Linked DNA regions of Alligator mississippiensis. The protein of the gene in region 1 binds, or shares a complex with, the protein of each later gene. Links are inferred from orthologs where the notes say so. Each region holds a gene or a part of one and is shown on either strand. Other genes may lie near its edges. The genes, in order: DDX46 and SF3B4.

The links.
Region 2: DDX46 (region 1) and SF3B4 share a complex: the UniProt entries of both Homo sapiens proteins name them as parts of the 17S U2 SnRNP complex. The link is inferred for Alligator mississippiensis from reciprocal best matches to the Homo sapiens genes DDX46 and SF3B4.

The regions. Positions count from the first base shown.
Region 1 is NC_081832.1:70,512,606-70,528,037, reverse strand, and holds the start of DDX46 (probable ATP-dependent RNA helicase DDX46), read right to left. Parts: upstream 8,058-15,432; 5' UTR 7,964-8,057; coding exon 7,947-7,963; intron 5,545-7,946; coding exon 5,356-5,544; intron 4,954-5,355; coding exon 4,813-4,953; intron 2,270-4,812; coding exon 2,173-2,269; intron 1,182-2,172; coding exon 1,016-1,181; intron 1-1,015. Other genes in the region: guided entry of tail-anchored proteins factor CAMLG, read right to left, coding at 10,967-11,158, 13,022-13,087, 13,713-14,170. UniProt on the Homo sapiens protein: Component of the 17S U2 SnRNP complex of the spliceosome, a large ribonucleoprotein complex that removes introns from transcribed pre-mRNAs.
Region 2 is NC_081838.1:18,098,124-18,113,709, reverse strand, and holds the start of SF3B4 (splicing factor 3B subunit 4), read left to right. Parts: upstream 1-9,922; 5' UTR 9,923-9,999; coding exon 10,000-10,033; intron 10,034-10,573; coding exon 10,574-10,702; intron 10,703-11,533; coding exon 11,534-12,076; intron 12,077-12,623; coding exon 12,624-12,818; intron 12,819-14,339; coding exon 14,340-14,510; intron 14,511-15,303; coding exon 15,304-15,485; 3' UTR 15,486-15,586. Other genes in the region: MTMR11 (myotubularin-related protein 11), read left to right, coding at 2,691-2,772, 2,846-3,002, 3,405-3,492, 3,657-3,745, 3,865-3,989, 4,322-4,388, 4,541-4,611, 4,690-4,862 and 4 more. UniProt on the Homo sapiens protein: Component of the 17S U2 SnRNP complex of the spliceosome, a large ribonucleoprotein complex that removes introns from transcribed pre-mRNAs.

The DNA.
Region 1 (15,432 bases):
AGTTAGAGGGAGAGAAATATTTTTTCCTATTGGATGTTTTTGTTTAAAAAAGAAACAGTGTGGGGATTTTGTTATGGTTTAGTATAATGCAGATTTATGGAATCTTAATAAAGGCGAAAGTTCAACAACTGGGAAGCATTTATTGTAAAAGGTATAATGCACAGAATACCATAAGGATAGCTGAAAAATCTCTCTCAAAGGTCAGCCTGACTGGGAGGTAAAAAAGGAACCATGGGCCAAAGATCAGCCCAGGAAAAGGATTCTTCCTTATGCCATCCAAGGACTTGGACACCAGTTGCAGGAACCCCAAAATACTGAGCCACAGCTCACCACAGGTACTACACATGGACTCCTCTCCATGGCAAAACAAGCCCTGGAAAAACAAACACCACATCTGGGGTGCCAGCATAGCCAGCATGCCTCCACAACCCCAGAAGCCAGAACTCTAAATCCAGAAATCAACATTTAGAGCAATGTACATTCCTCCCCTGGTGATATGCAAGTGGGAAGATTCTCCTGGGCCTGAAAATGACACATGGCAGAGGGTGAAATTTGCTGTGCTAAGACAGGAGGTCATCAGTACCTGGTCCATTTAGCTGCAAGTTTAGTGTGGTTAGAAAAGTAGCAATTGTCAGTTCACAAACAAGTGCTGAAACCACAGCATTTGAAGCTTTTTTTTTTTAAACTGGGAGAGAAGGGGAAAAAGAAAAAAAAAAATATATCCACATATGTCACTGAACTGCTCATTATGTCACATAACTAACTTGTATAGCTGCCCAATAATTGGTGGGTTAACTCTGTCCTCTCTTCCATTCCCAAAACCAGAGCTTGCTGGTCTCATTTATTGTTTCCTAAGCTGTTTGTGGCCACGAACAAAACTATTTCACTACAACACATTCGACAAAAGTAGCTGAGAAATTTTAAAATCAAATGAAACAATACAAAGCTAGGTTTACTGTTAGGGGTAAAAGCTGTATTTGTTTAATTATTATGTAAAATCAAAATTTTAAAATACCATCATCATCTTCTAAGCTCCATTTTTTCCCCTGTTTCATTTCTTCAATTTCTTTTTTCAGTTCTCCGATGTTTTCCATAGCCTTCTTGCGCTGCTCTTCCCTCCATTTCTCTACTCTCTCTTTTCTTTTTCTCATTTCCTCCTCCAGTTTATTCTGATCAAAGTTCTGTGAGAAAAAAACAACCAACTCAAAGATTATTGCTCTGATCCTGTACTCCTTCATACAACTCGCCATTAGATCAGTGGCAGTTTTACTGGAAATACGGGATGCAAGTCTGGCCTCCATAAAACCTATATCGACAGAAGTTAAACTTATTATAGAAGGAAAGAAAATACTGATGTTAACTGTAACACTTGAATATAAAACATCACATCTAGTGCCAGATGGTCCTACAGATAGATCTTTCCAAACCAATACTCCTGAACCAGTTGCTCAGTCTTTTAGGAAAAGTATACTACAGCAACAGTTCCCAATCTTTTTCCTTTTTTGGTCTGTGAGCCAGTAAAAGGCCAAAAGAGTTCTCTTACCATCCACTATTTCCCATAATCCTTTGAATTAAAAAAAGCAGCTCTGACTGGTTTATGGATAAAGGAGTCTGAGGTCAGAGTGCTGGTGGAGGAAGCACATGTTGTGGAATAGGTTGGGTGGGGATTCTGGTTTTAGGGCTCTGGTGCTGACATGTACAAAGATAGAGGGTTGCCCTTGAGACACTGTTTCTTTCCCCTGGAAAGGAGCAGTGTCCATAACTGGAGAGGTGCTCTAGGCTTGGGAAAATAACAGCAGTGGATTGAGCTCCTTCCTCTTCTTCCCTGGTCTCTTTCTGGGTTACTTTTCAGCTCCTCAGTCAATCACAAGAAAGTGACATAATGAGCTCACATCCAGCTGGTAAGTTTGCATCCAGTATGCTGAGGTGGTCAGCCTTAAGGGGAAAATGTTTATGTCAAATAGTAGGAGTCCATCCTACTACCAAAGGTACAGTAATTAACCCCTTCACACTCACAAGAACATTGCCCAGACCTAAAAAGGGATTATCTGAAGTTGTTTTTCTTTCCAATTACAATAAATCCTATCTAAATGTATTCTAATGCTACAGCATTTATGAACGCTCCTGTTTAACTCATACAAGTTTCTCTCTCAGTGGCAGATTTATACATACATTAACCTCTTTATCCTTTTCTTCTTCTTTGTCCTCTTTCTCTTTTTTCTTTTCCTTGGAAACTTCTACACCTTCTGTCTTTTCTTTAGATCTTGATCTGAAAGGGGGAAAATCAAAGATGTATGACAGACTTTCACAAAGTGTTCCAGCTTTTCTTTGGAGGTTTCACATGCTGGACAGAATCACTGCCATTAACACTATGCATAGGCTTATGCTTTTTAAATGCTTTTGAGAGTATGTATCACTTCACAGCAAATCTCTCCATTTCATGGAAATAATTCCCACAACTGCCAGATACGTAGAATCTATTAGGACCCATTGATTCATACACTCTGGTTCTGTTCTTCTCATTTATTTCTGGGAGGAAGTCGCAGACTTCATTTCCAAACACTTACAGTTGATACTCTAGTGGCTCCACAGTTTATTTTACACCTCTTTGAATACAGCAGTTAGAATACAGATACTCAGAAATTCTTGCCTGTTACACTTCTAATGGCAAAGTGATCTAGCACTTTGCCCTAGAAATGCAAGTTCCCCCTGAGGATAGGCTACTGCCTGAAAGACATAAAAACACCTCCCCTCCAGGAAAGGCTACCTATAAACTGAATGCAACAGGCAGACATGCATTTGATATTAAATCCATTTATCACAAATTTTACTGTGCCTACCTCCTCCCAATAAAAAGTAGATGACTCCAATCTAAACATCTAAACTCAGAATAATAAATGTAAAATTCCTTTTACTCAATTAAATCTTATTAAGGTTTTTCATAGCCCACTGGGCTATTTTAATGCAAACCATATGCTTATTTTACAAGACATTTTTATGTCATTCCAACTTCTCCAAGTACAATTCTTGTGATCTCATGATTAAAATACTGGATTGTCATCAACCTGCTTATTCTATATAAACATCAGCGTGACAGTTTACATACTTTTAAATTATTTTACAACTTGACTCTTTGCAATTATACTGTAAATTCCAGTAAGAAGTTATTTAAAATGGCAAATGACCTGAAGTTAAGTTTTACTTTATTTCTAACCCAGTGTAAAAAGAGATCAAACTTCACCACTTCACTATGACTATTTAGTAGTCAGTTCATTTGAATGTAAACTCCCAATGGTAGGGCCCTTGTCTAATTAATGTTCTATATCAGTGGGGGCCAACCTTTATGGCAGGCATGCCACAAATTAGCCCCACACCCTCCCCAAATGTCTCTCTGATCCCATTCCTCTACCCAATATGCTGCTATGTTTTCTGCTTCCTGCCTTATCTGCCACTGTGTTGCCTGTCCCCTCCCTGGTCCAGTGTGCCACAGATAGAGGCTGCCCATGCCATCTGTGGCACCCCTGTTCTACTTGGTGCTGAGCACACAGGCAATGTTCAACAAACAGTTAAGAAACATGTACAAGTTTGATCCTAGCCTATATCATGGATTTCTCCAGTGTGTTATACCACAGACTTATCTACTGGCATGGATACCACAGAAAAACAGCTCTCAAACACTACTGGTTCACGTACCACCGTCTCAAAAAATTGCTGAAATGTCAAGCTCAGGAGTCACTACTGGCACACATAACAACAGTGTGAGAAACCCTGCCTCTTCTTTCATTACTATTCTGAATCCATTGCTATTAATGCCTCTCATCCCGTTATTAAAAGAAAAATATATACATCTCCAAAATAAATAATCAACCTGCAAGAGAACAGTGGGAAGAAGGAGTCAAACAATTCATAAGTGGGAAACCAGTACTTGGGGTGCATTACGAGACGGATCAAATGCCAATCATCCAAGAATTTATGATTACAAATTATTTTTCACAAAACCTTTTGAATTTTAATATTGATCATGAGAAACAGAGTTCAACTGACTTTTCAGAGGGGACAAACTAAGTTGACAATAGAGCCAGGAATACAGCCCACATCCCAGATGAAGTCAGCAACTGGCAGGGAGCAAATATGTCCTCATTAGAAGCTTGCTGCCCCTTATAAAGATATGCCCTGTCTACAAAATACAATAATGACAAGTATTAAATAATATTACCTTTTTTGCCAAATGTGTTAAATCTTTCCAGATGGCCTATTTTATTCTCCAACAAATGTGGAGGGTTTCCACTGGATTCTCTCTCTCTCTGATTACTGAGGACCAATGTCCACAGAAGAGAAATGAGTCCATTTCAGTTTCTGCAACTGAAAAATTAACCTAATGCATGAACTAGCCCTCTGCATGGGCTTTCTGAGTACATTTCTGGATCAATGACAGTTAATTATCTGGGAAGATCCTCTAACAGCTGCCAATAGCTTAAGAAGCTGATGAGGTCATGGCTTTGTAAAACAAATATAACTATGCAACATACAAAGGGGCTGTCAGTCACTTGGGTGAAAGACTCAGTGTACTTTTGCAAACTTACACATAAGGAAAGGAGATCTCTCCTGGGAAAAGACCTCTGCATGCCATTGTTAACAGTAAAAAAAAGTTTCCTGACTAAAAGAATAATTACAGGAAGAGGCAAACTCATTTAATATTAGCTAAATCCTCTATCTGGCAGCTATAGCCAGGACCTACAGAAACATAGACTACGGTAAGGTTTCACTGTGCCTTGTTACTGGGACAGCAGTTATAGCAGTGAATGCCAATACCTGTTTTCTGTTTTCTTGTTCTTGCCAGGACTGGGGGATCGGGACCGTCTACCTCTACTTCTGCTTCTGGATCGTCTCCTATCCCGACTCCGTGTTCTTCTCCTCTCTCTGCTCCGTTCTCGCTCTCTGCTTCTGGACCGTCTGCCGCAGGAGAAAAAAGTGTTTTATTTAGCATTCCATACACATGGCTGTCATTTTTTTTTTAAATATAAAAACAAACTTGTGTTGGGGAAAACATGACATAAGTTGGCCTGTTAAGAAGTGGGGGGAAGGAAAAATCATTTTCGTCAGTGCCCTGCCAAAGGAAGCTAAGAACCATGAAGGCCAGAAACAGAGTTACAAAATCCAGCTACAGTATACTTTTCCACTGGGTGATAAACTTAACCTGTGTGACACGTACTAGCCAACGCTTTACCTAATTTCACACCTGCCAGAGGCACCCATGACAAGTAACCACAGCAAGTGGAACATCACAGGTAGAACATCCCACACAGAAGGGCAGATACTTTGATTCACTTTCTTAAGACGTACTGCAACGTGTACCTTGGGCGCTTCCTCTCCCGTGACCTTGATCTCCTCTTGTCCCTGCTGCGTGACCTCTCACGCCGACGTTCTCGATCTCTGCTTCTAGAACGTCTGTCTTCTCCGCGTTTTGCTCTTTTGTCGGATGGAGAACGACTCCTGGAGCGGCTGCCAGAACGTCCCCGTGAAGCAGAGCGCTTCCGATAGTGCCTATGTTGTGGTAAGTGCACAAAATCAAGTCAAGATTCACAGGAGAACAAGTTAGAGGCATCTGCTGCATTTAGAACCGGGTCCTCTCTAGGGAAAGAACCAATTTTTAAAAAGGCTTTACTGCCCCTGCAAAACTGAACTAATGAACACATGTACTCCTCTGAAGTGATGGAAATGACTGGATTCCCTTGAAAGAGTTCTTACGAGATGGCATTGACAGAGCACAGCTCCTAATTGCAGCAGAGTTCCAAGAAGCATTTACTGGTGGTCCATCCATTTTGGTATATAAAAGATTAAAATTGCACATAATCATGCCTCTTGTGTCAGAGTTGACTGTGTAGTTTTGTAAAGACGTTAGACAATGGATTTGTATAGGATAGTTTGGATAGGGATGATCCTGCCTCAGGCAGGGGATTGGCCTAGATGACCTCTGGAGGTCCCTTCCAGCCCCACTTCCCTATGATCTGTAAGGTTTGGGCAGTCCTGCTCAGCTTATATAAATACCTCTATCCAAATACATTAAGTCTTAGTTCCACAGAGCTGCTATCAAACTCTATGAAAACTATCATATGCTAGCAAGAGCATCTGTGGTTTGATGGGCAGAGCATAGGGCTGGAGTCAGACTTGGACTGTATTTTTCTCAGTTACTGACAGGCTGTGACCTAGAGCGAGTCAATTCACCCGTCTCCGCCTGCAAGGTTTTGCCCGCTTAGATTCTAAACGCTCCAAAATACGGACCGTCTCTCCATAAAACACAGCCCAGATCTGGGTTGGGACCCCTGTAATAAAACAGCAATCACTCAGACCAGAGCCTGCTTCAAGGTGTAAACCTTAACAGAGAAGCACGAGCATAGCAGAGCAGTCCGTGGCAAATATCTCTTATCCGAGGACTTGAAAATGCTTGCACTTTTATAATCTTACACAAGAGCAGAGGTAGGAATCACTGCACCCACTGCAGAAATGCAGATACCCACGGGGGTGTCTGTACTGTTTCAACTGTGGGTAGCAGAGACGCAGCTAACCTAACTTGTGTACCTGCAGCGGTCTCACCATGCAAGCGGTGAATACTCACCCCATTCAGCGGTGAGTATTCGACCAATACCACTCCCTTAGCTAGCTACTTAAAGTTATCTCAGGCACTGGAGCACCAACTGAAGCGAAGACATAGCTAACCTGCAAACAGCGCTGTACAGTCAGTCCTCAACTTACAACGTTTCGAGTCACAACGTTTCGCACTTACAACCTTTATAAATTGACACCCTATTTCAACTTTCTGACCCCAGTTTCAACTTACAACGCTTGATTCGACGCGACGCCAAGCCAGCAAACAAGTTCGCGGTGTCACCTATCTCCCTGGAGAACATCTGTCCAAACTTCCTTGGACACTTTCTTTAAGAAAGCAAAACCCTGCACCAAGACCCCGGAGGAGACTCCAGCCAAGAGCCCTTCAGACAGTCCAGCAAAGTCACCTCAAAGAAGTCCTTCCAAATCAATATGATTGCTATTTACATTGATGTAGCTATATTACTCATCTATAATTGACAGAATACAAAATTTTGGGTTATTTTTGATGAAAATAAGGTATCCTTGGTTCAGGAACCAATCCTCCATTTATAACATTGTTTCCTATCGGAAAAAAATCAGTTCCGAGTCACAACATTTCGACTTAAGACACGGTTTTCAGGAACCAGTCGTGTCCGAGGATCGCCTGTAACACTAGGCAGGAGTTCAAAGCAAACAGTAAAGCACTGAAATCAAATGGATTTAGACAGCATGTAGCTGCTTACATTTTTGCCAGGAAAGAAGGATTAGCGCTCCGGTCGCCAGGGGTATACAAAATGAATTCCCCTCCAAGGTGTGCGACCTTGGAAAGCCCGGCTTCCCCACCCGCGCGCCTGCCTCGCACCCACACGCAGGCTTGTCGCGGCTCACGGCTGCAAAGCGGTATTTCAAGAGGCCGGATGGAGCGAGAGCAGCGAGGTGCGCCAGCCTTGCAGGGCAGCACCCACACGAAGATCCATGGCTGCTCAGGAAGTGTCGTTTAAAAGAGGGGAAAGAAGCGGCGGACCCGCAGCCAGCCCGAGGAGGAGGAGGAGGACCCGGCCCCGCTCAGGGATGTCACCTCCTGGCTCAGTGGCAGGGACGGCGGCGGCGGGGCCCTCACGAGGTCACACCTCGGCTCCGCGCGGGACCGTGCCCAACCGCCGTGTCCTTAAAACATTTCCGAGAATGACCCCCCCCCCGCCCCGGGCAGGTCGTTTCCCCTCAGATCCGGGCCCGGCCCCTGTGGGCCGACAGCGGCCTGCCCCGGCCGGAGAAGTGGGTCTCGCAGCGGCGCGGGGGCTGAGCCCGGAGAGGGGGGGGAGCGGGCGGCAAGGCCCCGGCGGGAGGAGCCGCCTCACCTGGACTCGCGGCCCATGGCGGCGGCGGCGGCGTTGGCCCGGGATCGGGTGCGCGGGCTCTAGGCGGCCGCCATTCCGCGCGGCGGGCAGAGGGGCGGCGCGCGGGGCCCGGACAGGCCTGCGCCGCGCGCGCCCCCTGGCGGCCGGAGGCCGGCAGCGCAGGGACAGCGGGCTTCTCCCCCCCACCTGCAGCCAGCTGTGCGTGCGGGCCCGGCCCCGCCCCGCCCCGCCCCCCCGGGACACGCGACCCGCCCCCGCTTCGCAGCGGGCTGCTGGCGGGGCCGGGGTCTGCGGGCGGACGGTCCCCCAGGAGCCCCCTCAAAACAGACGTGAAACAAAGGAGCGAGCGCATCCCTCCCCCACCCCCACCCCCGAGCAAATCAAACCTTGACTGAGAGTAACAAATGCCGTTTTAATAAATTTAATAGAAAACAACCGCTGTAGAAATAAACGTCCGATACATTTATGTGCGCGAGCAAAGGGGGAGGGGCGGCGGGGGTGCAAATCGAAGGTGGGACGAAGGAGATCCGTTTCTGGATCGCGCGTGAAGTCCGAGGGCTTCGTTCAAGTCTTGAGAGCCGAGGACACAGGCAACCCCTGGTGCTACCTGCTCCTGTCCCGACAACGTATCCTTTCCGCTCAAAAGCTCCACCTTATATTTCAGGGGTGGCGGCTGGAGTCGCGTCGGTCTCCGGACATCGGCAGACAAGGTCCCTTGGGTGAATACATCTTTTATATTCACCCAAAGACCCTTGTCGGCCTATTGTATTTCAGGCCGCTTGGGAAAGGATCTGCTCAGCCATTTCACAGTTAAAGGAATGCAAAAAGAGCAGGGCAGAACGCCAAAATAAACACAAGTATAAATCAAAATGCTTTTTTAAGCTTAGTAAAGAAGGGGGGGCCCTTTAAAAGGTGATGTAATATTAATAACCAGTGCTTTTTCTGCACCCTCCCTAGTGCTACCTGCAACACTTGCTAATTCGGATAAATAATCCTGAAAGTTGTGTCTCATTTCTGAGAATAATCTTCACATTTCAACCGTAGCTAAAATCTCAGCTGTCAGCATCTGCTGAAATTGTGTCCCAACCATTCCTGCCAGTGGACCTAAATCAGGTTGTCATTCCCCCCCCCAATCTATCCTTAAACATCTACACTGAGATGTTGACGCAAAAAGTAACCGCAGTACAAAGCAATCTTCCATAATTTAGAACACAAGTTTCTTGCTTCAGACATAGAGCAGAGGTCTGATCGTGGGTTCAGGAGCGCAACAACGTCATATTGCAGAATATTTTAAAAGGGGAAAACAATTAAGCAGAAAAGCAGAGTCTTGTTTACTTCAGAAACACAAAACCAGATTAAACAGGAGGCAAAACCATTAGCAACATAACCAGGCATCCCCTCCCAATTGAAAATCTGGTGTCAGTCTACTTCACCTGGATGCTTCAAATAAATAATACACAGAAGACAACAGGTTAAGGGTAACACCAGGTTCAGATGCAGTAGCAGCAAATATCCAAATATGGGTAATGGGAAAGGTTGGCTGATGGAGATCCCTCCTCAAAGTCTGTTCCAGTTTACACCATCCCACTAAGGCCAAATTTCTGCTGGACTGGGGACAGTGCTACCCTCTCTCCCCTAGAGAGCAGAAGGCATCTGCTGTGGGAGCCCCCCCATCCCTCACTGCTTCTACATCTGCTCCAGAAAAGGTGTCAGTTTCCACCCCCTCCTTCCACAGGACACATTGATCTTCTTATGGAAATCAACTCAAAATAACATGGTGATAAGAAGTCTTGTTCCCTTGCCTGTTTCAGTACTTAGGATTTGAATAAGCATGCCTATTGTGGCTTATTTGGAGGGACTTCAAACCAAAATGTAGAAGAGAGGAATTAGCAAGTCAGTTAACATATAAATAGCTCTGCTGAATGCTAACCAAGGGTTCTATTTAGGCTATTGAGCAGCAGCACTATTAAGCAGCAGGAGCAGAACTCCTAAGCAATTAAGGCCCTGTTTACATGCAAATGTCTTTTTCTATAAACAGAGGGAAAGAAACAGAATATAGATGTCAGTTAAAATTGTTTTAAACACCCTTGCAAAGATCCAGGAAGAAAAAAATCCCCTTGTTAACTAAAAGTTGAATAAAACTGCTATATTTGATGCCTATTGAAGTAACTGCTTGAGAGAATGGGGTGCCTGAGTGCAGCTTTCACTGTAGAAAATGAACTGTCTAAAGAAGAAGAGCGCAAGTAGGGTGTACATGAAAGCCGGGGTAAAATTAGGGCTAGAATTAAAGAGCTTATGGAAACATTTGAGACCAGCAGCACACGTGCCTTCTTGCTTCACAATTAATGGCATTTGTACGCCAACAGGATTTATTTCACTCTAGAATCCTCTCTTGAAGTCCGTCACCGGCACAACAAATAATTTATGGCACCAAGAGAGGATGAGGGCTCCAAGCCACAGGACAATGAAGAGGCATGTGTCGCCCAACCCTACTGCAAAAGCCACAGGCTTTTTTATTCAGCATTCAGAGTCTGAACACTGGAACGTAAGGATTCATTTTATATTAGTCATGGATTTCTTTTAAACATGGAAGCAACACCAGAAGAGCAGTCCTTACGTGTATCCAGTCACAAAGTGTACACATATGGGCTTCGTGAAAGCACATTTGTGCTCTCACACTGCAGAGCCAAAAGGGAGCAGCAATTCAAGTGATGTCAGGGGTGGAGGAAGAAGGATGTCTTCTAGTTAAACAAGTAAAGGAAATCAATCACTGACACTTGCACTCTATTCTTCACATTTGCCATGTGCAGAAACAATAGCTGAATACACTGTACTAAGACCACTCCCACCCTGAAACCCTGTTTATCCATTCACAAATGAGCGACTTTAAGATGCCTGTCAAGCATTCCAACAGACAAGAATTAAATTAAAGGTCTAAACCAGTTTGCATATCCACAGATGTTACAGGAATACAGAATGCAAAAAATGTGTGTAACTGCTACTTTGAGGTCTACAAGCCCTCACGGTGCATCAGAACCAAAAAACACCAGCAGTTCATGGCAGAAAATAAAAGTAAAGAAGTAGACACAAAGATCTGTGAAGACATCTCCCATTTTGCTATAGGTGTCCATGGAGCGACTAATCACTTCTGCTGGGATCCCCGACAATAAAAGAGCAGCAGTTAATACCGTAGTTTTCACTTTCTTCTCGCACTGAAAAAAAAAGAACAAAACAAAAGAGTAGTGATTACTGAGTGTATGAAGAGTCATAACTTCTAAATACATTTTAAATCCAATGAGTTTCTCTGGGGGCTCCCTCCTACTATGAGTGACAAGTCAACATTTGAAGTTAACATCATCGTGTGAATCGCTGACAAATGTGTGTGAATTCATGTTCTGATGGTCTCTTAATCAGCTGTCTACAAAAGGTTCACCAGTGCAGTTAGGCCAGGATAGACATGTTGCAAACCATCTCACATCCACACTGGTTTCTTCTGTAAAGAACTGTATTTTTGCCAGTATAGCTTTAAAATATATAGATAACTTCTGGACATATATGCATGCACACACTTTTGTGGAAGGCCAGGTAGGGATGCTTTGTGTAGGCTGTTTTTGTGCCATAGAATGGGCTATTCATTTTGTTATGGACCATGGTTTTAGTTATGTCAAGGGACCTATACCTTTGAATTGATATCCCATTGCATTTAAAACACATTTTTATGACTGCAGTGTTCACCTATGTGACATTTCAAAGTGATCTGAATTAGAACAGTTTAGTACCACAACTACGCATTATATGAAAAGGTAAATCATTTATGAATGTTAAGACAGTCATAATCATCAATGAATTTTAACAAAATAATGAAATGGATACTAGTAACAGAATAACCTGAGTAAACAAACAAAGTCAGGGCACTCCACATTAAAAATTAGAGAATTTTTAACGGAAGAAAAGGAATTCAGCCATCTCCTCTCAAGACTCCCTACGGAAGCTTTACTTTCGACTAGCCCAGACACAGGCAGGCCAGCCTGAGGTTTAAAGTCCCATTGGAACATAGAGTATACAGGTAACTACCATTTGCTTTCAATTCAGAGACTCACCTCTGAAATATAAAGGTTGAATAACTGATTTTGAGAAACACAGAAACTAAGAGAAAAGCTCTAGCTAGCAGACAACCTAGTGCAGGTGATCTGAGGCCAGTACCCTGGTACGCTGTCTGGTAACTTGTGCAGACCACTAAAGAATAATTACTTGAAAGTTCACTGTTTTTACTTACATATTTACTACTCTCACTCATTCCTACTTGCTACACTGACTCGGCTATTCCTTTTAACATGTAAATATTCTCTTTCAACTATGGCTGTGAAGTACTTAATTCTGCCTGACTTTACAAAGCAGACTGACAAAACCATCAAGCAAGCAGTTGCTTCTTTACAATTAACTTGTGATACGATCCCATTAATATAAAGCAGGAGATATAATCCCGCCATGTTGAGAAGCAGAAAGTAACAGGCATAAATAAAAATCGCCACATTTCAAACTTCTCTAAAACTGAGTTCAGGGCAGCAAAGGTCAAGGACCCATTTCACTGAGAGGGAAACATTCTGTTTGGTCAAACATGACATGAACAGTGCCTATGGATGGAGCCTAAAAACAGCAACTGCACAGAAGTACAGTGTAAATGGAAGGCAAAATCCTACCAAATCAAAGAAAAATCTAGCCAGCTTTCCCAAGTAAATGCTTCCTACTGGGCTATAGCTAAATATTAAGTAAGCACAAAAATCAGACACAAAACTAATTTTCATCCAAGACTTTTAAGAACATTTGGATTCAGGTCCTCCAAGATTAAAAGCTAGGGTATTAAGTGCCTTTCACTTCAAACAAAAGGGAGCCAAAGTCTCATACTGCGAGTGATACCTATTGAACCTGACTCTGTTTGTAGTACACTCAAGTGTTGGGTAATATTGTAAAGTACATTCTGTGGAAGACCTAGGCCTTCCTAACCATAATACATTCCCACAAAAGTCGGAAGCTGAAAGCACCCAAAATTACTTTTGTTAGGGCACTGGGCTTACCTTTGGAAAATACTTGGACAATCCCATGTAGGCAAGTTGTAGAGTAAGAAATGGAGCAAATATTGACTGAGAAGAAAATATAAGATAATGAATTAGACAAATAGATAGTTAAGGAATCACAGTAATTTGCACTTCCAAGGGAACTGACATTTATTTGTAATAAAATATTTCAGCTGCTGCACTGAAAAGCTATGGAAAATGACAGCCATGTTTATAAATACCGCTGATCTAAATAGATGATGGCTAAATTAGAAGATTAATCTCTTCCCTATCAGGCCTGATCCTGAACTGAGATAGGTGCGGGGGTTCACAACACCTCAGACTATGATTACTGCTAGAGATATAGCAATACTTTGTAAAGCCAATTACGATTCAAGAGTTGGCATTTTGTACTAGATGAGATGTAAACAGATGTTTGGAGCACTCTGGTGCTAATTACTGTTCTCAGTCTCCAGGGGCTAAGATTTGAGTTTGTACTCTCTCAGCTGCTACACAGCATCCGCACTAAGTACATAGTGTTGATTCTGAGAAGACTACCAGCCTCAAGGAAAGCCAGCAATTCATCTGGACTGATATACCACATTCTATGTATCTAGTCATCCTCGGAGCTAAGTATATGACATGTCTAGACTGGCAGCAACTAGGCTGGGTTTTGTCTGGTCACACTGAAGCATCGTTTTTTGTAACTCACCAAATACTTGCACACGAAGGCTCGGACTCCAAAGGCAAGAAGGGCGCATCCCACGAGTCTAAAAATCCGAAAAGAATCAAACTCCTCCCCTGCATTCCCATTCTCTTGACTTGGCTTCTCACTCATCAACTGGTTCCTTAGCTTCATTGCTTCATCAAATCTCGAGATGTACTGATCTAACCCATGTCGTGGTGCTCGCTGTGCAGGTTCGGGTGGCAACTCCCCTCTGCTGCGATGCCGGAGCTCAGTGGGACCCTCACTGCCAAGCTCAGGAGTTTTGCTGAACAAGTCCTTTTTGTCTCCCTTGAGCTCTGCAATGCCACTTGCATGATCAGCTGTTCCTGCCAGACTACAGACAGCATCACCCAGCACAATTCGCTTTGAAACTGAGGGGACAGGGAGGGAGTTGGACTTCTCTAGTTCAAGCTGAAGTTTTGATTCGGAGAGAGTGTCATCATCTAAAGAGGATAAACACCACAATGAATACGTTACATGCTGCTCAAACCAACCTCTAACCCCTGTTGTATTTTGGGCATCCACGATAATACATTGAATACGAGTGTGAAACCACAGCTTAACAATTAATAAATATATTAAATTAAAGAATAATGAATGCCTATTCAGTAGATATGTGAGCATTGGCAGTCCCATTTTATAGTGAGAGAAACTGAAACCAAGGATAAGCAAGGCAAGAGGAGAATTCTGTACTAGAAGCAGGGGTAGAATTCAGGAATTCCTGGCGTCTGCTGATAAATTATACCGTAACTCCAGATGAAGAACACCAAAGAGCCAACCATAAAACAGGCAACCTCATCAGGAAAAATCTGTTACCTCAACAGTGTCTTCTGATACTTTTCAATTGCAATAGGAACCCAAATGGCTCCAATCCACTGTACAACTGCTACAATATGTAAGTCAATACAGCACTTTCAAACACATCAAATAAGTCGTATGCTTTTAATTGTTGAGTAGTATTAGCCAAAAGTGGGGCAGATGCTTTCTTCAATTGTTTGTATGTTATCTCAAGTGTTGAAGTAGTTGCAGTCAATCAGCTATGAAAAATTAAGTGAGAGCTCTGGGTTTGAGGGGAGAGTAAAGAATAAGTCTGGTTAGATAGGAGCGGTTTATTCCAAGCACAGACAACTGCATAAGGAGAGAATTCAGAGTAAGTCAATTGGATGAAAGGAAGAAGGAAAAGACAGCCCACAGGCAGCAGAGAAGTACATCTTGGCTTGTTTCTCTCTCCAGTCAATGGCAAAACTGAAGTCTTATACCTGCAGAGAATGACCTTGTATTTGACAGAAAAAGGGAAGCCATCAGAAAAGAACACAGACACGCTAGGCGTGGATACTAAAATCAGGGGGGAAAATGCAGTTTAGAACAGTACATTTCAAAACAGACTGACTCATGCTTTATAGATACCCTTGTAAATTAAAATCTGAAAGCTCTTACAAGACTGCTTCTCATCACAGAATTTTCTGGAAATACAAATGATCTCTGATCAACTGCAAGTTTGCCGAGGAATTCTGTATGACAGCCGTAGCCAGCAAATGACTTTAAGCAACGTGTCATATCAAAGAAAAATATTGCTTTTGGTATTTCAAAAGATTGCTTCAGTTAAAATTTAAGGATGAAATAAAACAACATAACAGAAGTTGAAAAGAAAGACTGTGCAATTCATACAACTCTGCAACAGTCATTAACATAAGAAGCTTCCTGG
Region 2 (15,586 bases), on another chromosome or scaffold:
TTAGAAGCGGGCTGGCCAAGTTCACCGACGACACCCAACTCTGGGGTAAAGCATCCACACCTGAGGACAGGAGGGCGATCCAGGCTGACCTGGACAGGCTCAGGAAATGGGCAGGCGAGAACCTGAGGGTGTTTAACACCGAAAAATGCAAGGTTCTCCACCTTGGGAGGAAAAACCTGCAGCATCCTTATAGGCTCAGCAGTAGGCCTGTGCGAGTCGGAGGCGATCTGATCCGGCTTCGGGTCCAGCTGCTTCGGGTGGCCGCGATCCGATTGGGAGCTCCGCACCGGGTTTCCGCCTCGATCCGGCCGAAGCTTCAGAGCCGCCTCCGAGATCCGGCCATAGGGTATAATGGGGGATCAATGAAATAGCTATAACTTTGTTGGGTTTTGTCCAATTTGGATGAAACGTGCAGGGATGGTAGCCTTTGCTGAGAGCATGAAACCTGCCAAGTTTCAAGGAGATCGGTGCAGGGGTTTGGGGGGAACTACCCCTCAAGCTGCGGACAAGCACAACTGGTGCCATGAGTGACACTGTGCGCTAAGGCGCGGCGGGGTGACAGCTGCAGGGATGGTGGCCCCTGCTGTGACGCCGGCCAGCTGTGGAGGAGATCGGTGCGGGGGGTCCTGGGGCCCTGCACCCCTGGCTGCTGACAGGCAACACTCGTGCCAAGACCGTGTCTGTCTGGGGGCAGTTGATTGTCTGTATTGAGTCTTTCCTCTCCTTAGCCTGGGTTTGTAGGTGCTAATTGCTGCTCGTTAAGTCGTTATGTAGTAGCTAGGTCCTGTGTATTGAGCTGGGCCCTGGGTCCCTGGTCCCCGAGTGAATCATGGTTGATTGATCGGTAACCGGGAACACAGCAGCTGAGCAGCCAGGCCTGAGCAGTGTCTCCCCTCCCGCCCCAGGACAGACACGAGCAATCCCACAGCACCCGTGGCACCAGTTGTGCTTGTCTGGAACTTGAGGGGCACTTCCCCCCAAACCCCTGCACCGATCTCCTTGAAACATGGCAGGCTTTGTGGCCTCAGTAAGAGCTACCACCCCTGCAGTTTTGATCCCCCTGTGTTGTAACGCCTAGATGTGACAGGAGTTTTGCTTTCAAGAATTTGGGGTGCCGTTCCCCCCAAACCCTTGCACTGATCTTTTTGAAACTTGGCAGGGCCTCTCTGCAGAGTCTACCACCCCTGAAAAGTTCATCCAAATCAGACAAAAACCAACAAAGTTATAGATATTTCATTGATCCCCCATTATACCCTATGGCTGGATCTCGGAGGCGGCTCGGAAGCGCTCCGGGAAGCCGAATGTGGCAGCGACTTGACCTGACGTGCTGCCTCCCGCTCCAAAGCGTCTGAAGCTTCTCCAGATCCGAAGCTCTGCCCGAAGCCTCGCCCAGCCCTACTTGGCAGTGCTACGCTGGTCAGGGATCAGCAGGACAGACCCTAGGAGGAGAGGCTAAGGGACCTGAACCTGTTCAGCCTCCACAAGAGAAGGTTGAGGGGGATCTAGTGGCCTGTTACAAACTAGTCAGAGGGGACCAGCAGGCATTGGGGGAGTCCCTGTTCCCCCGAGCACTACCAGGAGTGACATGGAATAACGGTCACAAGCTGGCAGAGGGTAGATTTAGACTAGACATCAGGAAGCGCTACTTCACTGTCAGGGCGGCTAGGACTTGGAATCAACTTCCAAGAGAAGCGGTGCTGGCTCCTACTCTGGGGCTGTTTAAGAGGAAGCTAGATGAACACCTTGCTGGGGTCATTTGACCCCAGTACTTTTTCCTGCCATGGCAGGGGGTCAGACTTGATGATCTGCTCAGGTCCCTTCTGACCCTACCAACTATGAAACTATGGACGAAAGGGACTTGGGGGTCTTGATTGACCACAAGATGAACATGAGCCTGCAATGCGATGCTGCGGCTAGTAAAGCAAGCAAAACGCTGGCTTGCATCCATAGATGCTTCTCAAGCAAATCCCAGGGCGTCATTCTCCCCTTGTACTCAGCCTTGGGTGGCCGCAGCTGGAGTACTGCATCCGGTTTTGGGCTCCACAATTCAAGAAGGATGTGGAGAAGCTTGAGAGAGTCCAGAGCCACGTGCATGATCAGAAGTCAGGAGAACAGACCTTATGATGACAGGCTGAGAGCTATGGGACTCTTCAGGCTGGAAAAGCGCAGGCTCAGGGGTGATCTGGTGGCCACCTACAAGTTTATCAGGGGTGCTCACCAGGATCTGGGGGAACGTCTGTTCACGAGAGCACCCCGATGACAAGATTGAATGGTCACAAAGTCCTCCATGACCGTTTCAGGCTGGACGTAAGGAAGAACATCTTTACTGTCCGAGCCCCCAAGATTTGGAATAGCCTGCTGCCGGAGGTGGTTCAAGCGCCCACTTTGAATGCTTTCAGGACACATTTGGATGTTTATCTTGCTGGGATCCTGGGATCCCTGCTGACTTCCTGCCCCTGGGGTAGGGGGCTGGACTCGATGATCCTTCGGGGTCCCTTCTAGCCTGAATGTCTATGAAATCATCCCAGTTCCCGAATCACAAAGGACTGGGGGATTTGGGCTGTGCCAGGACCCCCAACTCCCCTCAGCAGTGCTCAAACTGGGAGCCGGGGGACATGGGGTGCTCCCCAGGGGGGGAAGGTGCTCCTGGTAGCCCTGCCCCAGCCCCGCTCATGGCTGCCGCCTCCCAGGTGACAATGGCCATCGCTCGGGCCCAGGAGAGTGACAGGGATGTGGCAGCCTGGTCCGACTCCACCCAGCTGAGGAACCTGGGTAAGTGATCCTGTGCCTGGCCGGGAGGGCAGGGGCCCCATGGGCACTGTGCTGACTGGGCTCCGGCTTGCAGAGAACGCCCAGCGGAGCCCCGAGGAGGAGGGGGAGGAAGATCCGGCGCCCACGCTGCTCTTCAAGAGCCTCCAGGACTGGGAGCAGGAGCTGCGGCGCCTGGGGCCCGCAGGCTGGCGGGTCAGTGTGGCCAATGAGCGCTTCGACATGGCCACCAGGTGAGCGGGGGTGTGGGGCGGGCAGGATCTTTCTCACCCCCCTTGCCCCGTCTCCACTAGAAAATGCAGGAGACCTCCCCAAATCCCCAAGGGATCCAGGGTACTGGAGAGACCAGATGCTTGGGTTTCCTGTTCTCCACAGCCCCTGTTCCTAGACCCGGGGACTGAGACTTGTGGGGGCAATGGAAAGCTTTTGCTTTTGCTTGTGCTTCCGCCCTGGATGCTCGGGGGTTTTGTGCTGTGATGGGCTTAAAGTGCCCAGAAAGCCAGGTTGGGGTGGGACCAGGCTGGGATCAAACTCTTGGGAGGGAAGGAGGATCCCGAAGGCCGAATCCTGGGATAGAGGGTTGCAGGGGGCTTGTGGGGAGGGTCTGAGCTGTCTTCCCCACGTCATGCCCATAGCCTCCCCCGGTACCTCTGGGTGCCTGGCCAGCTGCTGGACAACGAACTCAAACGAGCCTTTGCCCACTTCAACCAGCGACGCATCCCAGTGAGTGACCCCCTCCCATCATCCAGGGTGACCCTCCCCAGCCTGAACCAGCAGGGGGGAGGGAAGAGCTCTGGCTTCAAGCTGGAGGAAGGGGATGGGGGTGCAGGGGTGGGGGAAGCAGCCTGACATGGATTTTGCCCCCCTGTGTCTGCCCTGCCCTGCAGAGGCTCTGCTGGCGGCACCCTGGGGGCAGTGACCTGCTGCGTGCTGCGAGCTTCCATGCTGCCTCGGACCCTGAGAAGGAGGACACAAGGTAGAAGCCACAGGCATGGGGATGTGGCGCTGTGATGGGGGGTGGGTTGCTGTGCTGAGGCCCTAGCCTGGCTTAGGGGGGCCAGCAGCACCCGTCTTATGCCCCATGTGTCTCTGCAGGGCAGTGGAGGCACTGCTGCTGGCTGGGCATGCGCGATGCGTGGTCGTGGACACAGTGGCCGACTTGCCCAGCTCCACCGAGATCCAGTTGGCCCATGTGCGGCTCCGCACCCTCTGCTCGCCCGGTGAGGAGCTTCCCCTGCCCTGTGTCTCTCCTGGGAGCTAAGAGAGTCGGGCTCTTCTTCCACGGATGTTGGCTGAGCTGGGAGCTGGCTCCCTGCCTCAGTTTCCCTGCTCGAGCAGGTCTCATTCATCTCTGGGGCAGCAAAGGGTGGATGGGACTCGGGAGACGGGGTGTCGCTTCGCTTCTTCCCCACCACAGACCCCCTTGGGGGACTTGGTCATGTTCTCTTACTCTGCTGCTACCACCTGTGGAGTGGGGAGGGTCATTCCCACTCATGGCTGGGGTGGCTGCTGGAGGATTCCATCTCTGTCCCCCTGCCTGGCTGCCTTCCAGACCCCGCCGTGGCTGATGAGAAGTGGCTGTCTGCGCTGGAGGGGACCCACTGGTTGGACCACGTCAGGTGAGAGCTGTCCCTCCCTGCTCCCAAGACATCCTCTCCTAGCACCCAGGCCAGGCTCGCATGCAGCCATGACCCCAGTTTTCCCTCCCCTCCCCTCCCTTCCCCTCCCCTCCGGTGCCCCCAGCTCTGCTAGCCACCCCATCCCCTTGCAGGGCCTGCGTGAGGAAGGCTAGCGATGTGGCTGTGCTGCTGGCAGAGAGGCGCTGCTCTGTTGTGCTACAAGGTAGAGACTCCCCCACCGCTCGCCGGGGTCCCCAGGCCACGCTGCCAGTCCCCCGCTCACCCCGTGCTGCCCCCACAGAGTCGGACGACCGAGACCTCAACTGCCTGGTGGCCTCGCTGGTGCAGCTGCTGGCCGACCCCCACGCTCGCACCCAGCTGGGCTTCCAGAACCTGGTGCAGCGGGAGTGGGTGGCAGCCGGACATCCCTTTGCCCAGCGCCTCAACCTCTGCCGGGATGGCGACCGAGGCGAGGTGAGCCCAGGGGCAACCAGCGGGGGGCATCATGGAGCCTGTTCCCACTGGCTTCCAGGTGCCCTGGCTTGGAGCTGGGGGTGGAGCTGGCTGGGTGAGGCAGGGACCCAGAAGACCCCTGGGATTTGGGGCTTGGACCCCATCCCAGCCCCACATGACTTGTCCTGGTCCCCAGCTGCTGTGTTCTACCCCAGAGGCAGCCGCATTGCCATGGCAGCTGATCCCCCACCCCGCCCTCCCTCCACTGGGGCTGTCCGTATGTTGCCGCGTTCCACCCCAGAAGCGGTCGTATTTCGCTGTCAGCTCATTGGGGCTTAACCCCTCTCTGCAGGCTCCAGTGTTTCAGCTCTTCCTGGACTGCGCCTGGCAGCTGCTGCGGCAGTTCCCAGCTGCCTTTGCCTTCACCGAGGCCTATCTCCTGGCCCTGCACGACAGCAGCTACGTGCCTTTCTTCAGCACCTTCCTCTTCAGCTGTCAGTGGGAGCGGAGCCGTGGGGGCCAGGTGGGTCCTGGGGTTCAGGATGGGCCTGGGAGCTGGCTCTGCTCTGCCTTGGGAGGGGTCCGGTCTAGGGGTTGGAGTCAGGACTCCTTGGTTCTGTCCTCGGCCGTGGGAGGTGAGTGGGGCCCCCAGGTCAGGGGATGGGGACTTCTGCGTTCTCTGCTCAGCTGCAGGCGGGGACTGGGTTCCGCTTGTTCAAGCCAGGGATGGGAGTGAGGACACTGGGGCTTCCTGGGAGAAAAGTAGGGTTGGAGCAGGGGACTGGGGCTCCTGGGTTCTTCTACCCCTGACTGCTTCGTGCCTCAGTTTCCCCGTTTGTCCCACAGGGGTTTTGCCCCCTGCTGCTGGGAGAGCTAGGTAACATGATGTTTCCTTTAAAGTGTTGGCAGTGGGGAGCAGCTGCTGTGTGTGCGCTCCTCCCCTCCTCACCCCCTCTGTCTGCACCCCCAGCACCGGGCCTCCAGCCAGCTGTACACACCCGTCAATGGCTGGCGGGACGCCGCCAACCTGGAGATCCTGCCGCAGGCCCCAGTGGGAGGGGGTGCTTGCCTTCCCCCTGTCTGGGCCTGGGCGCTGCACTACAGTGCCCAGCAGCGGGCGCAGTTCCAGAACCCCATCTACACTAGGGCCAGTGATGGGCACATGGCCCCGCCGGGCTGCAGCAAGGTGAGTGCGGTTGCCTCTGTGTGGGGTGGGTCCGGGCACTACAGGCAGCTCTGGGTGGGGGCTGTGTGGGCAGGCAGGCAGGCTAATGGTCACAGCACAAGGGACGAGGAGCTGGACAACTTGGTCTTCCTCCTGGTTGGGATGGGGAAGGAACCCAGGAGTCTAGCCTCGAGTCCCCTCTAGCCCTGCTGTGTCTTTGCTCCCTGCTATGTCCTGTCCCCCTTCCCAAAGCCCCAGCCCACGTCCTGCCTCTCTCCAGCTGAAAGCCACCCTGTCTGAGACTGGGGCTGTGTTCCTCCTGGCCCGGGGGGGCTTGGCCCCGCAACCCCACCTCTTCCCCTGGAAGAACGGCTCACTCGTCAAGAAGGGCCCGTGGCGGGTGCCATCCTCGGACAGCCTCAACGACCAGTGGGGCTGGCCCAGCAGCTGCCCTGCCTTGCCTGGAGCGGTCCTGGTGCCTGCCTGCACGGGGTCGGCGATCCAGCTCTGGAGACGATGCTACCTCCGTGGGAGCCCCGAGCGGCAGGTGAGGGCCAGGCTGGGCTCGGGGCAGCTCGGTGGGGGCGGTGCTCTGCCACTGCCACCTCCTGTAACCTCAGTCAAGTCCCTTTGCCCCTCCTGTGTTGATTCAAACCATTGAATCTACCATTCAAACCATTTGCCCTCATTGCAACAGGGTGGTGTGGGCCAAGGGGCTGGATCTAGGGTGGAGAGGGGAATGGTGGAGAAGGAAGCTGGAAGCCTTAGTATCCAGTGGGACTCCCCACGTTCCCCTGCAGCATCTTCAGGACGGGGGCTATGTACAGCACCGAGTGTGCTACAGCAATGCTTTTCATCAGCCCCTGGGTGTAGCCCAATGAGGGATAAATCGAGCTGGTCCTTGTCAGGTGCCCAGCGAGGTGGGTCTGGGCTCCGGCTGTTCCAGCCTCTCCATGCACTAGCTGATGGCACTAAGCTAGCCAGTACCCCAGCTGCCTGCCCTGACCCCATGCCTCTGCTTCTTTTCCCCCCTGCTCAGCGCGGCCTCTTCCCTGCAATGCTCACCGACCTCACCGAGGAGCTGGAGTTGCTTCAAGAGTGTCTGAACGATGGGCACTGGAGGGCCACGTCTCCCCCCAGCCCTGCGGAGTCGGAGGAGGCAGGAAGCCCCCTTTCCCCGTCCCGCTGATGGTGACCACTGCTGGGAGAGGATGTTAGGCAGCGGCTGGACTCACATGACCGACTTCCCCGGCGTTCAGACCTGTCCACCTGCATGTTGGCAAAGAAGCCAGTGCCCACAGGCTGTTGTGTGCAGCTCATCTTGGAGACGGGCACCCGGATACTGCTGGATTTTCGGTCCCAGGCCTGGAACTTTGCCCAGCCCTTGGCATCTACTGAGGGGTCGCAGATATGTTGCCCAGTTGTCCTGGTGACTGGGCATCTCCCAGCAACATGGCAGAGGGGACCCGCATCTCCAGAACGAGCCCTAGAGATGGAGCTCTCCCCTTGGTCCCAGATCCACGGTCATCCTGGCTCTGGGGACTGTGGAGGAGCCCTGCCCTGCTGCTAGTTAGCTGTCCCTTCCCTGCGGATCGTGGGTGGGTCTGCAGCACCTTCCACCCACCTAGCCAGGCTGCTTCTGCTGGGTTTTCCCAGTTGGACCCCTCAAAGCAGGCAGTAGTGAGGAATCTTTGGGGTGGGAGGACTGGAAGACCCCTGTCTCCCCTGCCCTAGAGGCTCGGATGCATTGTAAGCTGCTGTGTACAAGGGAGTAGGTTGGGGAGAGGGGGCGTGGTATTTGCTGTAATCCTGCTACCTCCAGAAGCACTTTTGAAGTCCCTGAGGAGTTTTACTGTAATGCGCAAAAAAGCGTCCGGAAACCCTGCTCGTGCAAACAGACACACAGTTGCACCACATGGAAAGGCAAAAAATGTGGCGTGTACATGCACTCCCCCAAGTCCAGGTTGCGGCTGCTGCTTTCTTGCAGAGGGACAGCAGCCGGATCTGGGATTGTGAGACCATCTCTTGCAGACTCTCTTCCTTGAGCTCTAGGTCCCATTGCATCAGCTGCACATCAGGCTGTTGCATGGGCTGGTGTGGATCTGGGACATCCTCTCTGTCCCCCATGGCCAGGATCAGACTCGACCCTGTGTTACCACCTGTTCTCTGCGCTGACAAGCTTGATGGGGTGGTGGTGCCTTACGGCTGGGAATCTTCCTGACCCCTCTGGTGAATTGGGCCTTCTCCAAAAGCCCATCCTGTCTGGGAGCTTCACAGCCCAGCAAGGGGAATCTTCCCAGCGGGGTGGATTCAGGCCCTTGCTACTAGGATTCAGGGGATGGCCCCACATGGGGAAACTTGCTGGAGTCTTTCAGGTCCTTCCAAACTCCCTGCAGCTCCCCCACTTCAGTATATGCAGACATTGCTGATGGTAGCTCAGGGCCAGTATGTTCCTCCCTGCTTTGGGATCTCTTTCTAACCCTATAAAATCTGCAGCAGAGGAAGGGAGGGGAAGGGGGAACAACCTCACTGCTGATTAGGTGTTTCTATTGCAGGATTTTTTTTCTCAAGGCCCTGGCACAGTTATCAGTAACACATTTTGTTTAAAGCTATTTGTATTATTTTATTTTTTTAAAAATAGCTCTAGCTATAATTAGTAACCGGCAGGAGATGGGTTTCCATTGGGCTTGAAGCACTTTAGGCAGAACCAGAGACTACACATGGATGAGCTTATTCACGGTGTGTGCACATGCACGTGCTTCTCGCCATCTATTTCACTTAATAGAAAGGATCCCTTTAATTTCATGGGTTAGAAAAGGATCGGTGCAAGGATCGAACGCCTCCCCTTCTCGCAGGGCTTGAAAGCAGTGGAGTTGCAGGATGGGCAGAGGCAGTCACAGCTGAAAGTCCAATGCCGCTTTGGAAAACACTGTGCCGGTTGCCTGAAAACGATGGGGAGCCGTGCGCACTTCATCTTAAAAACTCCTTCCAGCCCCATGAGAGGCCTGGGGGGAAGAGCTGAGTGTCTCCATCGCTCCTTAAAAAGATGCCGGCCGGGGGCCTGGGCTCTCCCTTGAAGCAACTCCTTTGGTTACTTCTTAAGAAGTCTTTGGGTGGCCGCGGCGTTCGGATCCCGCGTCCCCCGCGACGCGAGGCAGGAGGTACGTCGCGATCCCACCGAAGGGCATTCTGTTTTTTCCTAGTCTGTATATTTTTGTAGTGACGTTTCTATTTAAGAGCCCAATAAACGCAGTATTTTTAAAGCTACGGGGTGCGGTGGCGTGTTTGAAGGACATGTCCCAGTTCACCCCAAAAGGTCGCGCGAGAGGCTGCAGTCTCCAGGTGCCGTTCGTGAGGGCGGGCGAAATCATCTCGACGTCCCGTGTGGTGCCAAATCCCACGAGCCTCCGATTCAAGGGTATTATCAGCCAGTTAATCATTACAAGTAGGACTAACGACTGATAACCCTAATGAACATGCTGGGTAGATATCAAAGTACTTCACTCAGCAGCCGCTATCGGCATTTCCTCTTATAGGCGGGGAAACTGAGGCACAGAGCGGCCCTGCAAGGACTCCCCCTGCAAGCCAGGGCTATACCTGGGAATTGCGCCAGGTTTGAAACCGGCTGCTCTGCCCCTGGGCAAGTCTCGTCCTTTTTCTAGGCCTCAATTTGTTCACCTGCAAAATGGGTGCTGTGCTAGTTATTGGCAGCAAGCCTAGGCCCTGTTGTTGTTATTACCAGCGTGTCCCACAAGGCGTTAACATCAGCAGCAGCTCAGACACCTTCGCAAGCCGCTTCCGCCCGGCTCCAACATGGCCGCCCCGCGCGCGGCTGCAGCTCTCGCCCGATTCCAACATGGCCGCCTTTGGCCAACATGGCCGCTGGGGAGCGCACTTCCGGCTTAGACGGGAACCGGAAGTGGTGTCGGGAGGGGACGAGGTGAAGGGTCGGAGGTCGCCTGGCGGCGGCGGCGGCGGCTCAGCGCGGAGGAGATGGCGGCCGGGCCCATCTCGGAGCGGAACCAGGGTGCGACCCCCCGGCCGGGCCGGGCCCGTCTCGTCCCTCCCTGGGCGGCGGCGGCTGCCTTGCTGGGGGCGCCCCGGGCCAGGTCCACGTGTCGGGGTTTTAAGCCCCCAGCGCGCGGGCGCTGCTGCGGGCCGGGCCGGGCCAAGGCCTCTGGCCCCAAAGGGGCAGGCAGGGGTTTCCCCCCGGCGCGGGGCGGACTGGGGGGTTTGCGTGAGGACCCTGCGACGTGCTCGTCCGTGCTGCCGGGGGGGTCGCCGTGCACTGACCCCCTTCTGGGCCCTCGGGGACACGGGCAGTGTCCGACTGGGTCCATCCAGCCCAGTTAATGCAGCGCCAGGGCGGCCCTATAAGCCGCCCCCTTCTTGAACGTGGCCTTGCTGGCCCCAAATTTCTCCGCAGCGAGGGTCTGGGGTTTGCGTCACAGAGCGAGGAAGGTTTTGCCCTCGCTGTCGTGCTCTGAGCCCCCAGGACTCGGCCCCGGTCTCTGCCCCTGTTCGAGCCCGTGACTGACGCCCCTTTCTTTCGTCTCTCCCTGTCAAGATGCCACCGTCTACGTCGGCGGCCTGGACGAGAAGGTCAGCGAGCCGCTGCTGTGGGAGCTCTTCCTCCAGGCTGGCCCCGTGGTCAACACGCACATGCCCAAAGACCGGGTCACGGGCCAGCACCAAGGTGAGAAATCTCCATCGTGGTAAAACCTGGGTTTTATATGCTGGACGCGGCAAGGGAGAGGGGAACAGGGGGGAAAACCCTGATCGGACCCAGCTCGCTCTTCCTTTCAGCGTCTGCTCTCTGCTGCCACGTGACAGGAGACGGGGCAAAGTGGGCCTGTGGCCTCACCCAGTAACTGGCAGTTCTTGTGTGGGTCAGCCCCCGCTGGTAGGGAAAGGCTTTCAAGGACCTTGTCTTCCTAGTCATCTTCCATGTTGCTGGAGCAGGGAGTAAATGGTGCATTAGAAGTGAGACCTACGGTGGTAGCGCACCCGTGCTCAGAGAACAGGGCCCTGAGCTGCCAGGCAGAAGGACGGCTCTGAGGACTGACAGGAAGGGTGGCCCAGAAAGCTTTGAGACTACATATGTATTGTGCATGTTTCAGTTCTCGTAGTGCTTTAGTGCAGCAGCGGGTGTGCCCCTCCTGTTGCACTCAAATTAGTCTGCCACAAAGGTTTCCCCCTACTGAGTTAAACTGATACAACGTATCGGAGCAGGGGGTGAGAGAACTTGGGAAGAAAAAGATCCCTGGGTTATATGGTCATATATACATGCACTGAGGTGGATCTGACTGGCAGGTGGAGCAGAGAAGGTTTCCCATCAGCAGTTGGGATCAGGGTAGGTGTGAAGGGGGCACTTCCAGATGAGCCAACAGGAGAGAGAAACGCAGAGGAAGCAGGGTTTTGCTCTGATGGGGCCAGGGGTCGTGAGGAAGCGGAGAGCAAGGGGGAGAGGGGTTCGAGTGGGTCCCAGGGGCTGCATCCCATCCCAGTGAATTGCGGTGTGTTGTAGGCTACGGCTTTGTGGAGTTCCTCAGTGAGGAGGATGCCGACTATGCCATCAAGATCATGAACATGATCAAGCTGTACGGGAAGCCCATCCGGGTGAACAAGGCCTCGGCACACAACAAGAACCTGGACGTGGGCGCCAACATCTTCATCGGCAACCTGGACCCAGAGATCGACGAGAAGCTGCTGTACGACACCTTCAGCGCCTTCGGCGTCATCCTGCAGACACCCAAGATCATGCGGGACCCCGACACGGGTAACTCCAAGGGCTATGCCTTCATCAACTTCGCCAGCTTCGACGCCTCAGACGCTGCCATCGAGGCCATGAACGGGCAGTACCTCTGCAACCGCCCCATCACCGTCTCCTACGCCTTCAAGAAGGACTCCAAGGGCGAGCGTCATGGATCAGCAGCTGAGCGCCTCCTCGCTGCCCAAAACCCTCTCTCGCAGGCTGACCGGCCCCATCAGCTGTTTGCAGACGCCCCTCCTCCGCCGTCTGTGCCCACCCCGGTTGTCACATCCCTGGGCCCCGGGGTCACACCACCAGGTGAGGGAATCTCTGTGCTGTGCCCCCCGGCAGGGGGGGCGTTGCTTAGTTGGTGGCTGGGTGCAGTCTGTCACGGGTTTTTGCTCTCTGGGTTGGTATTGAAGCAATGCCAGGGCTTTGCTGGACCACAGGGAGGAATGTGGCAAGCGTGCCCATTGCTCTGGGTTGGCACTGATTTGTTGGCCGGGGTCTTGCCTACATGTGGGGCCCGGAACACAGCTCTGGGGGCTCAGAACGCCAGCCCCTTGCTGTGCTCGGGCCAGGGGGTTTTCAAGCCTGGTTCTTGACCCCACTTAGAAAGGAACGCTGCCTGCCCCCCAGGTGGTTGGCCATGTCACCTGCTCTGAGATGAGTATCTCTTGTACTGGACCAATCAATGCAAAGCTTTCCATCCCCAAGTTGATTGGCCCATCACTGGGATGCCTTGCTCCCCTGAGCCATGCCATTGGCTCTTGCGTGGCTGGGAAAGGCGGGGCCGCAGCATGCAGGCCTGTGGGGTGATGATTTGTGCAGGGGTAGTGCTCTCACTGATCCTTTGCTCCCTCAGGCATCCCACCCCCCGGCTCGTTCCCCCCACCGGTGCCACCCCCTGGAGCCATGCCCCCAGGAATGCCTCCTGCCATGCCCCCTCCACCCATGCCACCAGGCGCTGGTGCCCCTGGCCCACCATCTGGAGCTGCACCCAGTGGAGGACACCCACCGCACCCACATCCCTTCCCACCGGGCGGGATGCATCACCCAGGTAAGGTGTTGGGAACAGGCTGGGCTAGTGGACAGAGCACTGGACTGGGCGCTAATGCCACGTAACTCAGTTTCCCTTTTCTGTAAAATGGGCACAGTGACACTGGCTTCCTGCCTGATTCACTGAGCCCTGCTCTAGACAAAATTCCCATGCAAGAGTAAGTGCTTAGTGATTTATTAACGAGGGTGTTAATAATCCTGCTCTTCAGTTAGAGGGGGGGGATGTCTGAGCAGGGAAGCCAGGGTGGAGTGGTCTGGGTCAGTGTGTCTCATCGCTGAGCCTTGATTTTTAAAATTGCCTGCATTCTTTTGGAAATGGCTGGCTTCCATCAGCTGGATGCTTCGTGGCTTGGACTGAATGTGAATGTTAGGGATTGGTCCCTGGGAGCCTGGCACTGCCCCCATCTGGCCACCTGCACTGGGATTGGGGCCTGGCCACCCCCCCCCCAGCCCCCCTCAGGTGAGATTGGGCCCTTAGTTCAGGATCTCTTGCCAGATCCCCTGACCTTGGTTTCTGGTTCAAATGGGTGCCTTGCACACAGATGGTGTTTGCACCTGCAGCTGTGGTCCTGGGGAGCTGAAGGCCTAAGGCTGAACACTGCCCTTGTCTTCCTACCCCTTTTTTATGCTCTCAGCTCCCTCCAGAGGTAGCCAGTTAAGGCCAGTTGATCTGAAAACCACTTTAAAATGGCTTAAATGCCTCAGTTTCCCCTCACCGTGGTTCTCAGCCCCGCCCCCACACACTCCCAGCCCTCTCCCTTTCTGCCTGGTTAAGAGGCTTTGTGTGTGATCCGGGAATGGGCTATGGGTGACCAGATGGCAGCTGTCACCTCCAATTACACGCCAGCTTTGGGGCCTTCAAAGTAGGCAATTACATGTGACAAATGGTGTTGTGTGTCATTGTCATCGGCACACCCCCCCCTCCCCCCCAATAGCAGTATGCCTGGGTGTCCAGGCTTCTGCTAAAAAGATTGGGGGGGGGGATCTAGGTTGAAAAGTGAGTAAATAGGCAGTTTTTTGCCTGGTAGATTCCCCTCCGAGCTGCCTAGATGGTTTGTTTGGGCCGTGCCCCTCCCTGTTGCCAGGGAGATGGGGGAATTCGTTAGCAGTGTCCCCAGTCTATCAGCCAGGATACATCTCTCGAAGCTGCTGCATGTAAGCAGGGAAAGCTGTGCTGGACGGATCCAGCAGAGAAATGGGGCGCAAGGTATTGATGGAGACAGAGCAAATCTGAAGGATGTAAAGGCATCTCCGTACCACGGGAGGCCTCAGCCCAGCTCAGTTATGGGGCTTGAGACCAAGCGGGAGCTGGCTGGTCTCTTCCTCCTGGGATCTCTGGGCTAGTGGATCTGAGGGTCCCTTCTGCTTCCAGTCCTGCCCCAGCAGGCTGGGGGAGTTGGGCAGGAGCTGTGGCTGTCCAGTGCCCCTAGCCGGGTCTGCTGTGCAGCTGCCCTGATCACAGCTTCCGTTTGAGCGGGTCTGAGAGCCCATGACGGTCTCACTGTGTCTGTCTCCTCCCCAGGGATGCCGCCAATGCAGGTGCATCATGGACCCCCTGGCATGGGCCAGCACCACCCGGGACCCCCGGGCTCCGGCGGGCAGCCCCCACCGCGCCCACCCCCTGGCATGCCGCACCCAGGGCCCCCGCCTATGGGCATGCCGCCCCGTGGGCCACACTTCGGGTCCCCCATGGGTAAGTACAGGTGTGGTGGAGGGGGAGAAATGGGACTCCTGAGTTTGCTTCCTGCCCCTGGCACCGACTTATTGTGGGACCTTGGTCATGTTGCTTCATTTTGCCCCCCATCCACAAGTGGGGGTGGGGAGATCTTACCCAGAGTTAGAATCATAGAAAGAAGAACTGGAAGGGACCTATAAGATTATCAAGTCAGGTCAGGTCCCCTGCCATGGGCAGGAGGTAATTGGGCTCAAACGAGCTCAACGAGTTATTTGTCCAACCTCCTCTTAAAGACCACCTCTGCTGGAAGTGTTCCAGATTCTAGTTATCCATACAGAAAAGAAGTTTTTCCTTATGTCCAGCCAAAACTTTTCCTTGACTAGCTTGTGTCCATTAGTCTGTGTCTTCCGGGGGGAGGGGGGGGGCTTTTCTGAAAAGTTATTCACCTAGGTCCTGGTGTTCGCCCTTGACATATTTGTTGACAAGTTGTTCCCAAGACTGAAAAGCAATTAAATATGTAGATTTGTAGTAGGTAGATCCCTGCCCAGCTGTCCCATTGGCTGAACTGGGCCATGCCCCTTCCTGTTGCCATGGAGACGGGGAGGTTCATTAGCAAGTGTCCATCGTTCTTGGCTCTGCCTGCCTCCCCGTGGCCACAGCAGTAAGCTGGCCCAGCTTCACTGGTATCCTCCAGCACTCCTGGCCAACGGACTAGGGGTGAAGTCAGCCTGGGGGAGTCCTCTGAGGGCTGTCTGCCCTGCAGCCTCTGCACGGAGCTGAGGCTAAATGCCAGGATCCTCTCTCCCTGCAGGTCACCCCGGCCCCATGCCGCACCATGGGATGCGTGGGCCGCCTCCGCTGATGCCCCCCCACGGCTACAGTGGCCCCCCACGGCCACCACCTTATGGCTACCAGCGGGTCCCAATGCCTCCACGACCAGCTCAGAGACCCCCGGTGCCCCCACGGGGCCCCCTGCGAGGACCCCTGCCTTAGGAGGCACTGCATGGAGGCCTGAAGAACCTTCCTGCCACAGATCCCTCTTCAGTCCCTGGATCTCAGCTTGTGCACGGACCAACGTTCCCAGGCCCGGGAGC